Linked DNA regions of Arabidopsis thaliana. The protein of the gene in region 2 interacts with the protein of the main gene of each other region in a biochemical or structural test. Each region holds a gene or a part of one and is shown on either strand. Other genes may lie near its edges.

Evidence for each region. The genes of interacting proteins can lie anywhere in the genome.
Region 1: of the proteins of AT3G13670 (region 2) and CRY2, one has a biochemical effect on the other in vitro, tested with the Arabidopsis thaliana proteins (one study listed by BioGRID).

What each region holds. Positions count from the first base shown.
Region 1 is NC_003070.9:1,184,810-1,191,219, reverse strand, and holds CRY2 (cryptochrome 2), read left to right. Parts: upstream 1-2,523; 5' UTR 2,524-3,033; intron 3,034-3,146; exon of another isoform or gene 3,147-3,213; 5' UTR 3,214-3,318; coding exon 3,319-3,631; intron 3,632-3,735; coding exon 3,736-3,960; intron 3,961-4,055; coding exon 4,056-4,768; intron 4,769-4,913; coding exon 4,914-5,501; 3' UTR 5,502-5,708; downstream 5,709-6,410. Other genes in the region: c-NAD-MDH1 (Lactate/malate dehydrogenase family protein), read left to right, coding at 315-473, 580-755, 913-1,190, 1,280-1,415, 1,508-1,619, 1,708-1,802.
Region 2 is NC_003074.8:4,467,053-4,474,641, reverse strand, and holds AT3G13670 (Protein kinase family protein), read right to left. Parts: upstream 5,490-7,589; 5' UTR 5,209-5,489; coding exon 4,825-5,208; intron 4,720-4,824; coding exon 4,591-4,719; intron 4,482-4,590; coding exon 4,408-4,481; intron 4,291-4,407; coding exon 4,221-4,290; intron 4,132-4,220; coding exon 4,076-4,131; intron 3,852-4,075; coding exon 3,780-3,851; intron 3,630-3,779; coding exon 3,535-3,629; intron 3,463-3,534; coding exon 3,396-3,462; intron 3,308-3,395; coding exon 3,178-3,307; intron 3,091-3,177; coding exon 2,872-3,090; intron 2,776-2,871; coding exon 2,633-2,775; intron 2,478-2,632; coding exon 2,303-2,477; intron 2,216-2,302; coding exon 2,125-2,215; intron 2,081-2,124; exon of another isoform or gene 2,016-2,080; coding exon 1,858-2,015; exon of another isoform or gene 1,755-1,857; coding exon 1,566-1,754; exon of another isoform or gene 1,468-1,565; coding exon 1,408-1,467; 3' UTR 1,102-1,407; downstream 1-1,101. Other genes in the region: AT3G13672 (TRAF-like superfamily protein), read left to right, coding at 299-397, 469-1,101; AT3G13662 (Disease resistance-responsive (dirigent-like protein) family protein), read right to left, coding at 6,172-6,177, 7,037-7,552.

The DNA of each region.
Region 1 (6,410 bases), on a different chromosome or scaffold from region 2:
ACTTTCATCTATATCCGATTAGATCGTGTAACTTCTAGATCTCTGGCTAGTGAATCGCTTGCTGAATCTAGTCAGATCTCTGCATAGTATCTGGTTGTTCCATAGATCAATGAAATATAGGTCAACTCTTGTTCCGTTGGATTCAACGCTGACCAACGATTGATTGAGTTGGTCGCATATCTAATTTTAGTAAAAGTTATTTCATGGATCGAACTCTGATTTAGAAACCGTTGTTTATATAGTTGGATAGAGTTTAAGTTGTGACTTTAGATCTCCTCAGCTACTGAAAGTAACTATTGATTGTGATTATGCAGGACAAATCGGATATGCTCTTGTACCTATGATTGCAAGGGGTATCATGCTTGGTGCTGACCAACCTGTTATCCTCCACATGTTGGATATTCCTCCAGCTGCTGAAGCTTTGAACGGTGTTAAGATGGAGTTGATCGATGCTGCTTTCCCTCTTCTTAAAGGTAGTTAAGGGTTTTGTTTTGCTGTGGATATTTGCATTCCGTGTCATAAGTTGTTTTGTATAAGTGGGAAAGGAGAAGATGAATATTTGATGTGTATTATTATCAGGTGTTGTTGCTACAACTGATGCCGTTGAGGGATGTACTGGAGTCAATGTTGCTGTTATGGTTGGTGGTTTCCCGAGGAAAGAAGGTATGGAGAGGAAGGATGTGATGTCCAAGAATGTTTCCATCTACAAGTCTCAGGCTGCTGCCTTGGAGAAGCATGCCGCTCCTAACTGCAAGGTGATACGATCTGTTTGCTTTTTAAGTTAAATGAAGCCACTGCATCCAATCTTCTCTGTTCATTGGAGTGTAACAGATGCTTTGTGTTCTCTATTGGGTTCTAGTTTACGACTCTCTTGCTCACACATTCGCTCTCGTTTTGTCTTTTTTTTTTCAGGTTCTTGTTGTGGCCAACCCGGCAAACACCAACGCATTGATCCTCAAGGAATTTGCACCATCAATCCCTGAAAAGAACATCTCTTGTTTGACAAGGCTTGACCACAACAGGGCTTTGGGACAGATCTCTGAGAGGTTGAGCGTGCCAGTGTCTGATGTTAAGAACGTGATCATCTGGGGAAACCACTCATCCTCACAGTACCCAGATGTCAACCATGCTAAAGTGCAGACCTCGTCTGGAGAGAAGCCTGTCCGTGAGCTCGTCAAGGACGATGCATGGTATGTATAACATGCCATAGAACTTAAGACCCTTTCTCTTCTCTGGAAGCAAAATCTAGTTTCACTTAAATATATTGCTCATTCTGTAGGTTGGACGGAGAATTTATCTCTACAGTTCAACAACGTGGAGCTGCAATCATCAAGGCGAGGAAGTTGTCTAGTGCGCTCTCTGCTGCTAGCTCTGCTTGTGACCACATCCGTGACTGGGTCCTTGGAACTCCAGAGGTTCATAATAAAACTCTTCCCCGTTATTTGCAGTGCTGTTTTTTTGTAACAGTTAATCTAATATGAGTTCTTTCTTTGATTCAAATTGTCAGGGTACGTTCGTTTCCATGGGAGTATACTCCGATGGCTCTTACAGCGTTCCATCAGGACTTATCTACTCCTTCCCTGTAACTTGTCGCAATGGAGACTGGAGTATTGTCCAAGGTAAATATGACGCACTTACAAACTCAAATGCTCATCAATTATGAAATCCTAGATTCTGCAGACCCTAATGTGTATTTTGTTTGGTTAGGCCTTCCGATTGATGAAGTATCAAGGAAGAAGATGGATTTGACTGCAGAGGAGCTCAAGGAAGAGAAGGACTTGGCGTACTCATGCCTCTCTTAAACCCTTCTGGAGCAAAATTTTCATCTATAAGGTGTGAGATCAGTTAAAGCCTTTCAGGGCTTTGTCCGAATAAGAAGTGTGTTTGAAAGATCTCCAAACACTGTTTTATAACCTCTTTGGTCTCTTTGATGAGTATTGTCCCTGGTCTGTTTCTAAACCAGGATATCGTTTTTTTCAATGTGTCTGATTTGGTTTACCCATGAAAAGAAGAAAATTGGCAGTTGCATGGTTATCTTTTGCGATTATTTTTTTCTGCTTTAGCAATTAGCCCAAAATTGATGAGCTCTTCGATAATGGGTTTGTGCAATTGTGATTTGTGAGGAATGGTGTTATTGTGTTGCAATTGCAAAAAGAAATGCTACTCTTGCAGATTCATACCAAAACCAAATCACTAGATTAAACTGAAATTCTAATGTGGATTATTTTAATTTTACTTCTATTTTTCTTCACCCAAATATTTTATAACCAAACACCAAGTTGACACCAAAATATACATCCAAAAAACTTAGATTGCTTCTATTTTACGACTATCCGAAATCGAATCATAAACCGTAGGCAATGGTCCATTAATAAGGGGTATACGAGGATTCAAAGTTTGAGAGAACTTTTTTATCTTTACCTTTTTCCTTTTGTAAAGTAAAAGCAGTGGATTTTGATTATAGATTCTACTTGGTAATGACTAATGAGAATCAAGTTCTCACCTTTAAGCCATATAGACTTTAGATATTTAATGGATTCTACAAAAGTGGGCATGACCAGAATCGAGTTCATGAACCACCGTCCTCGGCCCCAACGTTAAAAAACTTTTTTCTCTAGCATAAGAAGATAAGAGTATCTTCACTGCGCTTTAGGCCCACTCAACATTCAAACAAAATTCGATCTCTTATAAAAAAATATCTCACAAGAGAAAGTTCGTACATGATCCCGATAAAATCGTAGATGAGCAAATCAAAGATGAGATGTCGGTAAAAAAAACGCTATTATAAGAACACACGCCACTAGTTGTGGATAAAGTTGTCTACTTTTGTCTCGTTGTGATTATTATATTGCACAATTATTAACATTCATACTCTCATATGGGTATTGTTTTTGGTCTCCGTTAGATCTCAAATCTTTAACTTTGCATACCCAAAATAGGAAGAAAGAAGAGTCAAGTCACTAAAATAACTTTCACAGTCTTTGATTCGAAGATCTTTGTCGCCGAGAGATATCCACTCTGATTTGAGTTCTGGTAAAAAGTTTCCAGCTTTTGATTTTTGTTTCTCTCAATTGAATTTCTCTTGCTTGCTCTGTTTAAAAGGATTAGGATTAAATCGAATCTCTCTCTGTTATGTTTTTTTGTAGATTATTTTGGATTTTAGGACTCAAAGATTACAGATTTCTTATCAATCATTCTCTGTTATTGTTATAGAACTATTCTCTGGAGGAGGTTGAGGTCTGAAATCATGGAACAACTTGGTTAGAGTGTGGAATTTTAGCTGATTTGATCTTTGATTCATCTGTGATCATAATAACTATGAAGATGGACAAAAAGACTATAGTTTGGTTTAGAAGAGACCTAAGGATTGAGGATAATCCTGCATTAGCAGCAGCTGCTCACGAAGGATCTGTTTTTCCTGTCTTCATTTGGTGTCCTGAAGAAGAAGGACAGTTTTATCCTGGAAGAGCTTCAAGATGGTGGATGAAACAATCACTTGCTCACTTATCTCAATCCTTGAAGGCTCTTGGATCTGACCTCACTTTAATCAAAACCCACAACACGATTTCAGCGATCTTGGATTGTATCCGCGTTACCGGTGCTACAAAAGTCGTCTTTAACCACCTCTATGGTATATACTCTTTCATCTCTTATTCAAAGGATATATATTCTTATTAAGTTAGTGTAGTCTAAGTGCAACTGAGGTTGATGCGATCACGTTTTTCTTTGTTGTAGATCCTGTTTCGTTAGTTCGGGACCATACCGTAAAGGAGAAGCTGGTGGAACGTGGGATCTCTGTGCAAAGCTACAATGGAGATCTATTGTATGAACCGTGGGAGATATACTGCGAAAAGGGCAAACCTTTTACGAGTTTCAATTCTTACTGGAAGAAATGCTTAGATATGTCGATTGAATCCGTTATGCTTCCTCCTCCTTGGCGGTTGATGCCAATAACTGCAGGTAAAACCTTAAAGAGTATTACTTAAAAGCTAAAACGTTTTTGATTTCTTCAGGACATAAGCGGTAGTAAAAGTTTATGGCTTTTTCTTTGTTAGCGGCTGAAGCGATTTGGGCGTGTTCGATTGAAGAACTAGGGCTGGAGAATGAGGCCGAGAAACCGAGCAATGCGTTGTTAACTAGAGCTTGGTCTCCAGGATGGAGCAATGCTGATAAGTTACTAAATGAGTTCATCGAGAAGCAGTTGATAGATTATGCAAAGAACAGCAAGAAAGTTGTTGGGAATTCTACTTCACTACTTTCTCCGTATCTCCATTTCGGGGAAATAAGCGTCAGACACGTTTTCCAGTGTGCCCGGATGAAACAAATTATATGGGCAAGAGATAAGAACAGTGAAGGAGAAGAAAGTGCAGATCTTTTTCTTAGGGGAATCGGTTTAAGAGAGTATTCTCGGTATATATGTTTCAACTTCCCGTTTACTCACGAGCAATCGTTGTTGAGTCATCTTCGGTTTTTCCCTTGGGATGCTGATGTTGATAAGTTCAAGGCCTGGAGACAAGGCAGGACCGGTTATCCGTTGGTGGATGCCGGAATGAGAGAGCTTTGGGCTACCGGATGGATGCATAACAGAATAAGAGTGATTGTTTCAAGCTTTGCTGTGAAGTTTCTTCTCCTTCCATGGAAATGGGGAATGAAGTATTTCTGGGATACACTTTTGGATGCTGATTTGGAATGTGACATCCTTGGCTGGCAGTATATCTCTGGGAGTATCCCCGATGGCCACGAGCTTGATCGCTTGGACAATCCCGCGGTAAACTACAAAACTTGTCTTATAGTTTAGAATTCAAAGCTTAATACCAGTTTTTGCTATGCATTCGTTTTTTATTTTATTTTTCAGCTTATTTGGTTTGGTTGATTTAGTTCTGAAGTCTATGAAAACTCTGTTTTTATTTCAGTTACAAGGCGCCAAATATGACCCAGAAGGTGAGTACATAAGGCAATGGCTTCCCGAGCTTGCGAGATTGCCAACTGAATGGATCCATCATCCATGGGACGCTCCTTTAACCGTACTCAAAGCTTCTGGTGTGGAACTCGGAACAAACTATGCGAAACCCATTGTAGACATCGACACAGCTCGTGAGCTACTAGCTAAAGCTATTTCAAGAACCCGTGAAGCACAGATCATGATCGGAGCAGCACCTGATGAGATTGTAGCAGATAGCTTCGAGGCCTTAGGGGCTAATACCATTAAAGAACCTGGTCTTTGCCCATCTGTGTCTTCTAATGACCAACAAGTACCTTCGGCTGTTCGTTACAACGGGTCAAAGAGAGTGAAACCTGAGGAAGAAGAAGAGAGAGACATGAAGAAATCTAGGGGATTCGATGAAAGGGAGTTGTTTTCGACTGCTGAATCTTCTTCTTCTTCGAGTGTGTTTTTCGTTTCGCAGTCTTGCTCGTTGGCATCAGAAGGGAAGAATCTGGAAGGTATTCAAGATTCATCTGATCAGATTACTACAAGTTTGGGAAAAAATGGTTGCAAATGATCAAAATAATGTGCTGTTATAAAGCCTAACATGTAGATGTGTGAATGTGTCTTTTAACTCTTTGTTTCCTTTTGGTTATACTCAAAAGGATATGATTGCATAAACATATAATGCTGATATTATTTCAATTGGCTATGAATAAAATATACATATTTGTTTAGTCTTTGAATTTGTTTCATCTGAGTTGTTTAGTTTGAGGAAAAAGATAACGGCCAATTTATATTTCTTTATAAAGAAAAGAAAGGAAATCTCGATACACGACGTTTTTATATGAAACAAATGCAGTTGGAAATAAAAGTAACAAATCATTGGTCTAAAAACCCCAATGAAAAATAGTAACTAAATGACTGAATACTACGGTAAGATTTTTTTAATTTCTATAAAAATATAAGATTTTTTTTGATGATTAAAATATTTTTTTATAATCAATTACAAATAATTATCATATCTTGAAAACAACAAGAATTTTTTTGATATAATAAAAATATTAAATTAAATTACAAAAATAAACGATACTAGAATTATATTTCATTGAAATTTCTTATATATATATATAGCTGATATTTTAATACAATTATTAATTTATGATATTGATGGGACTATATGTTTACATAGGATTTTCAAAAAAAAAATATTTTATTAATTTATCGATTTGTATCGCTTTTTACACTAGTCCCAAATACTGAAAGAATTTATTATTTTATAAAAATGATTAATTTATCGAATATTAATTTATAAAGGTTTTACTGTACTTGCATGGCACAACAACGAGAAAAAGTCCACGCGATAAAGCTTCAATGTCAGGAATCATCAGGCGTCGAAATGTTTGACAATGGCATCGGTTTCGTCCAGAGAGGAGTCGACGGGGCCTGGATGAGGGTCGACGTAATCGGAATTGTCGTGGAAAAG
Region 2 (7,589 bases):
AGTGTCGTGTAACTAAGAACCTTGACTAATTTGTAATTTCAATCCCAAGTCATGTTACTATATGTTTTTTTGTTTGTATTATTTTCTCTCCTACAATTAAGCTCTTTGACGTACGTAATCTCCGGAACCAACTCCTATATCCACCATTTACTCCACGTTGTCTCCAATTATTGGACGTTGAAACTTGACACAACGTAAACGTATCTATGTGGTTGATTGTATGTACATATGTACAAACGTACACCTTTCTCCTCTTTCACTTCATCACTTGGCTTGTGAATTCATTAATTCCTGCGAAATGGAACCTCGAATCAATGACCTTCAGGTGGAATCTCGGGTTCATGAGTTGCTCGATTTTCCGGTTCATACAAACCAGATATCCTCTGCAATCTACGAGGTATGTATATCATATCATATTGATACTACTACAATAAGAACACAACAAGTAATATACAGATCCTATTGCAGTGTCCCAACGACCACATCGAAAACCCTAAGAAGAAACCGTACAATTGTCCACACTCAGGAGCCAAGTGTGATGTCACAGGAGATATTCAAAGGCTACTACTGCATCTAAGGAATGATCACAATGTTGAAATGAGTGATGGGCGTAGTTTCAGTCACAGATATGTTCATCATGATCCTAAACATCTTCATCATGCTACTTGGATGTTAACAGTAAGTTATATAACTGATTATCTTGCTCTGTTTCTGCAACTTTGTGAATTTTTAAGTTTTAACCCACTTGAAACGATGCAGCTTCTCGATTGTTGTGGTCGAAAATTCTGCTTGTACTTCGAAGCGTTTCACCTGAGGAAAACACCAATGTACATGGCCTTCATGCAGTTTATGGGAGATGAAGAAGAGGCAATGAGCTTCAGCTATAGTTTGCAGGTCGGAGGGAATGGCAGAAAGCTGACATGGCAAGGCGTGCCGAGGAGCATTCGTGACAGTCACAAGACGGTTCGTGATAGTCAAGATGGCTTAATCATCACTCGCAAATTGGCTTTGTTCTTCTCTACCGACAACAACACCACCGACAAGGAGCTGAAGTTGAAGGTTTCAGGTCGTGTATGGAGAGAACAGCCTGTTTCGATATGAATTCGATAATTAGGTTACAGAATTGGACAACTATAGAATATTTGGTGACAAAAATATCTTTTCTTGATTTAAAAATTAAATATAGCAATTTCGAGGGAAATGTGTAGGTAAACTGGTGATTATGGCTCAATCCCCTTCACAAGGGGGGAATAAACAACACAATCACCACATTTTTGCTTCACAATTCAACTGAAAAAAAAGAAGAAGCACAACAGAGCCTGAGAGGCCATAGGGTTGGATAAGGAATAGGAGCCGAGACTTAGAAACATATTTCTCTCGTCCTTCAACAGTTTTTACTAATAAGTCTCAAGATACAGTTCGGCCATAGCTTAACGATGCAAGGTAGAGATTCTTTCCCCATTTTTCCTGCACAACAGAAAATTGCATCTCCGGTATTGTTCATGGGAAGGGAGAAAAAGAGTTCAAGATATTGATTAGTAATCTTTTATAGCTGCTCTACTCACCTTGACGTGTGTGCTGGGGAATTGAGAGGTACGTAACGTCTCTTGTGTCTCATCAACAAGTCTACGACGTGGGATGCTTAGGATGAGAGCAGCTTGATCGGTTGTGGCTGCTGTTGATGTGATTCTGAATCCACCATCCCAACGCCTGTGGATGCCTTCACTTGGATACAGAAAATCAAGTTCCACAACCTGTAGAGGAGATATAAGCGAAAACAGGAGAATTAGAAATCAACGCGACAGATCCAAAACTGAAGGAAACGGAAGAAATTCATCTATATCGGTGAAGTCTAACCTGTTCACTGTAGCCAGAATTGCGGGACATAACAACACCCCATCGATTTCCAGCTGTTGCCATTGAGGTTACATGGAAGCCTTCTCTCCATTTCTTGTTTATCCACTTGAACGGGAATGAATCGCTTACTTTGTAAGACTGCTGTGTATACTGCGTACCTTCATAATTCATTTGAAAACCAAACATAGAATAAGCCACAAATTCAGAGACTAGTAAAATACCATAATGACGAAAGTGTTCAAAAGTATTCATGAAAAGTGTAGATACCTTTTGACATGACAACTAAGGAGCTTCCATTGCTTGCACCAGCAATAGAACTAATGTAGTAGTTCTTCTCCCACTGCTCCATAATCCATTCCTGATTCAAAACAGAATTCACTCTCAGGTAAGATCATCTTGACAGAACACAGATATAAAAATAACTAACAGAGAAACATCAGACAACCTTGTGCAAGAATACAGGAGAGAGTTCATAGACTTGGTGCGTGAAGCCAGTTCCAGCATCCATTATCAATGCCCAGAGATTCGAACATGATGATACACAGCTTATCAACAAACCATCTGCAATACCTCTCTCAATATGCTGTGCCAGTCTTATATCAGCCACATTATAATGATACCTGGTTAAACACATAAATTGTGAGTCCAAAAATAGTTTTAGACACATTAAGGCCAAAAATCCAAGATTATAATATAACCAAGAGAAAAAATGAGACACAAACGCAGTCCCAGCAGTTAACTGACTGTATAAATAATTAACCATGAATTTTTTTACCTCTGCTTCATTGGTTGCCTGGCATTGTAAATCGATATCCATTGCGTTGCAGGGACTCCTAGACGGACCTTTTTCCTAGGGGCATCTTCTTCTTCCTCCCCAATGCTCAACCTACCTCGCTTCTGGCCAACTTGGAATATGATCTAGCACAAAAGAAAACAATTACAAGATGTTAAACAACAACTCCTAGATATCCAAATAGGAACGAAAGGGAAAGATATACAGCATGAAAATGTCACCTTTTGAGCACCCTCTGTGTTTATAGGCCTAATTGCCGGATTTTCGCCCAAGAGGTCTTGAAACAGAGATACTAACTTTCCATAGTTGGGTTCTTCATCAAATTTCATATTTACCACGATCTCAAGAAATTGTTTGAAAGGAGGGGGACAAAAACAACAAAGCATATCCGGCGATGTTGCCATCTTCTTTTTGCAAACAAGGAATGACTTGTTATCTCCCTGAAAATTGAGTAAGAGACAGGATTAGCAGAGAAAGAATCATGCAACAACATGATTCTACAAAACAAAATGATAGGTCTGCAGTACCTGATATCCTTGCCATGGCAATCTACCTCGGTGAAGAAAGATCAGTGTATATGCTAATGATTCCAGATCATCCCTTCTGCTAGCAGTTCTCCCTAAATGAGCATGTGCACTTGCGTATCTAACTGTCCCTCTATAAAAATTAAGAAGAGAGAGATTCAACAAAAGGTAAGAGCGAGTATAAAACAAATTATATTAGGTAACAGTAGAAAATATATTACCTAAACATATCAGGACGTTGATCATATTCAACATGTTGTCCGCTACCACCTTCTCTCCACTTTGTAGCTGAAAAGTTGGTTGAAAAATGAGAAAGGTAAAGAAGAACCTAGCAAGAATAACAAAGAGAATGAAATCAACCTAGTCCCAAATCAACAAGAAACAGTTTTTTCTCTTGAGACGTTGAAGGCTGGCCGAGTAAGAAATTTTCTGGCTTAACATCCCCATGCACATAACTGAAACCGAAGTAAAACATGACCTGTTAGGCTAGTTAATAGAGAGAAAACATAAGAACTTAGAGGTGCCGAGACTCCAAACAGGATATCAGAAGAAACCTCGGACAACCTAATTAAATACAAAAACAAAAATAAAGTTCAATTACAAACCCTTTTGCATGCATCTTTTCAAGGATGGAAAGTGATTCAACCGCAATGCAAGCTACCATTTCCGAGGACATTCTGCAAAGCAAAAAGGGGGAGAAGAATTGTTAGGGAAGTCGATTTTTTAAAAGCAAAATGTTACTCAGTATGGACTTATGTATTTTTTTAAAAACAGGGAGTAACACCACATTTCAAGTCACAATTCCAAAAGAATCCAAATTAACTTAGGATACTCATGTATGGAAACAACGCTAATTGAAAAAGAGACAAGAGCTCCCCAAGGATGTGTAATGGAGACTCACGCTTGCCCTGAAGTATTCCATAAATCCCATAAGCTAGGCCCAAGCATGTCCATAACCTGAGGCCAAAACAAAGAAGAGAGGATCTAACTTCAATGATACAGACAGGAGAAAAAAACAGAAATAGGAGAAAGGGGGAATCCAGTACCATGACATAATAGTCTCCTTGCCTGCCTTTGAAATGTACTCTAGGGACTCCATGGCTACCACCCAAGGTGCTGTTCACAATAAAAGTAAAATGTCAATTTCACATTTCAAGTCAAGGAAGCACCTACAATCCAGGTAAATGAATTTAAGAAACATTGAAAGAAAGACAGGAGAATCGAAACACCCACTTGTAAACCTGCCACTCATGTGGAGGACCATAGTTGCAACCCTTGCTGCTCCTATGCTCAAACTTTAGAGCAACCTATATAAGAAAGTGAAGATGTGAGACACTGTAAGCATAACTAAGCTAATAGAATGATATTTATGGTGACAATCCTCCACAGCAGTAAACGCAGACTGAGTTATATTACCTCCAAGATGCTAGCTCCTGCACTACGATCATTACCGCCACTAATACGACGTCCGACAAATACTTGTCCAAAACCACCCTTCCCCAGCTTTCTCTCAACTTTATATAGTGGTGATCCTCCAACTTGAACCTGATACGGAATCGTTAGTCATTACCATAGAAAGATGATAAGCAAGCCTACAATGAAAAGTTCAATAACCCCAAACAACACAAAAACTATGCAAATCAATTATACCCTCTCAGGGAAAGGAGCAGTATTTCCTTCTTCTTCCTGAGCAGCCGCCTTGTTAGAGCCACCACTATCATTACCAATAGCCATATCTTTCTTCTCTTCTTCAACGACTACCTCTTTACCCTTGTTTTTATCGATATCGCTATCCTTAGACGGCACAACAACCGGAATCTCCTGAGGTATCTCTTTATCTTCCTCCTTTAATTTCCTCGCCGCTAATCTAGTCCTCGGCCTCTCTGCAACTCCTGTAACTCCGCCGGCAACCGGTTTTGGAGCTTTAACGGTACTCTTCTTCGGTTTCTTTTCTGTAGGTGTTTGCGGAAGCTGATTGGGAGCTACAGCATCAGTAACACGGCCACGGCGGACTCCACGGCGAAGCTCCGGCATAGCTCAAACCCCATGCAATCGAGACGGGACACGAAGAGTCCGATCATTATAGTCCTCCGAAAACGAGGGCCTGGGTCATGTCGGATTTGGTAAGCTATTTGATATATAATCGGAGATTCGATTTGCCGATGATGAAGATGGCGATTTAGGGTTACGACGGTTCAAGTTTGCGATGAGAAAAATAGAAGTTTATGGATGAAAGTTCCCAAAATGGAGAGAGAAAAGAAGACAGGCGATGTGAAAAAGGCGATATTTATGCCACGTCAGATATTCTGAAGAGGAAGAACCAAAAAAATTTGGAAAAATCAAATTAATTTTCCTTATGACAAAAATTATGTAATAATGATGTGAATGGACTTTTTTTGCGTCACACGGTCCGTGACTTGCGACTAATTTGGAAACAAACGTTTCACGTTTTTGTTAAGAAATAAAAAATTTGATTTCTTTTCTTACAATGGTTTTATATGTTTACTATTTTGAATGTCTTTTCTATTTCAAACAAAAAAGTAGCTAAATGTATTATTTAATTTCTCCGTGTAATATCAAAATTGGTTTTAGACAATAAATAGGTTTGATTTGGTGTTTTTTTTTTAAGGTTTGATTAGCTCGTGATTGGGCTAACTAATCATTATATTTATTTGAACATTTATTTTCTATCAAAATTTCAAATAATTTATTCGCTAATCAGTTGATGATTTTCCAAATTAACGCGGAGTAGAGCCTTTGTGCCACTTAATTTGACCAAAAAATGTATGTTTAATGTATATATAAACAACTACTTATTTATTTATTTTTTAGATGAATAAAATCAAACCATTACAAGATAAAATACATTATTTAACTTGGGAAAAGACAATAACACTCTCATAACAAAACGAGACATAAAAACAAATAAGTAATGAAATCAAATGAACAATATTCCAAACTTAATTATTTCAGTAATGCAGAATATAACAATTATATTCAACACTAGATTCACCGCGGAGACAATTCATTTTTTAAAATTAATATATGTAAAAATTTGTAAATTATTTTATAGTTTACAATTGTTACTAAGTAACATCCTGTCAAACTCGTCCCGCCAAACCCGTCCACAAAAAAAATTTATTTATTTTATTAATGTTGATCTTATTTATAATATATTTATGAATCATTGTCAAAATATTTTATTCGTTGCGGGACGTTGAATCCATACATTTTTCGCCAATTAGTTAATATATGTTCATTCTTAAAATTTTGAATCACAAAATATGACGATTTTTTTTTTGAGATTTTTTAAACTCTATATATTATATAATGATGTTAATTTTTTTGATATATTAAACTTTTTATAAATTTAAATATTAATAGTGTTTTATGAATTTTAAATATATAAATAATAATAATTAAAAAATTAATATTTTTTGCCTTTTAGGTAATGATATAATAATTCTAAAAGCAAGAATTTAGAAGATTTAAATCTTTAATTAAATATTTTCATGCCTGAATAATTAATGTCAGTAGCATGACATTGTAAATAAGTTCAAATACATGATTTGTTTATTTAAACAAAAAACGTTTAGTAAGAACAATATTTATTTAAACAAAAAACTTTGTTTTAAAATATTGTTAACAAAATACTTTTATGCTAATTTTAAAGGATTGATGTGCAGTTTGTTTGGATTAAATTTGATTGATAATGTGATTGACAATTTAAATTAAGAATTTAATGTAAAATTAATTATTTTGAAAAAAAAATTTAATGCTAATGGCATTGGGTTGTAAATAAGTTCAACTCTAAGATTTATTTGTTAAAATGGCTGCAAAAATGTATATGTAGATTGGCAACACCGGCCTTGAGATCAAACGACTTGGTGCGAGCCTCGACATAACCTCTAGCAAATCGAAAGATTCCACTACCTCCGACCACCGGCATTTCCCTAACCTTCGACATCACCACGTTCCGCCCAAGAATCGTTATCGTACTCCCATTGTACTTCCCCGTAGTGAAAGCAAAGTTCATCACCATCAAGAAGCCTATCTCTCCTTGGGCCGCTGCTACGTACATCCCTTGGGCTTGGCCCACCACAGTCGCATTCCTTGGCACATCGAATGTTAGTGGATCGTCCATCATGGTGATCGATCCGGATAAGGAAGAGTTCAAGACCGGCTGTTGGATCATCACGGAGCTAGGGTTTCTACCGTTTACAGAGTTGTGCCAATAGACTCGGAGATGAGTGAGTTTCTCCTTTTTGTAAGGGCCAAGGTGTTTCCCGTTCATGGTTCTTCCCAATTCATCTCCGACGGAAGCAACGGCATAGAAAAGGAGGATTTGTGCGGCGAAGATAAGGATGAGGTTAGTCATGTTGTGGTTTTTGTGTCTCTAGATGAAGGTTTGTGCT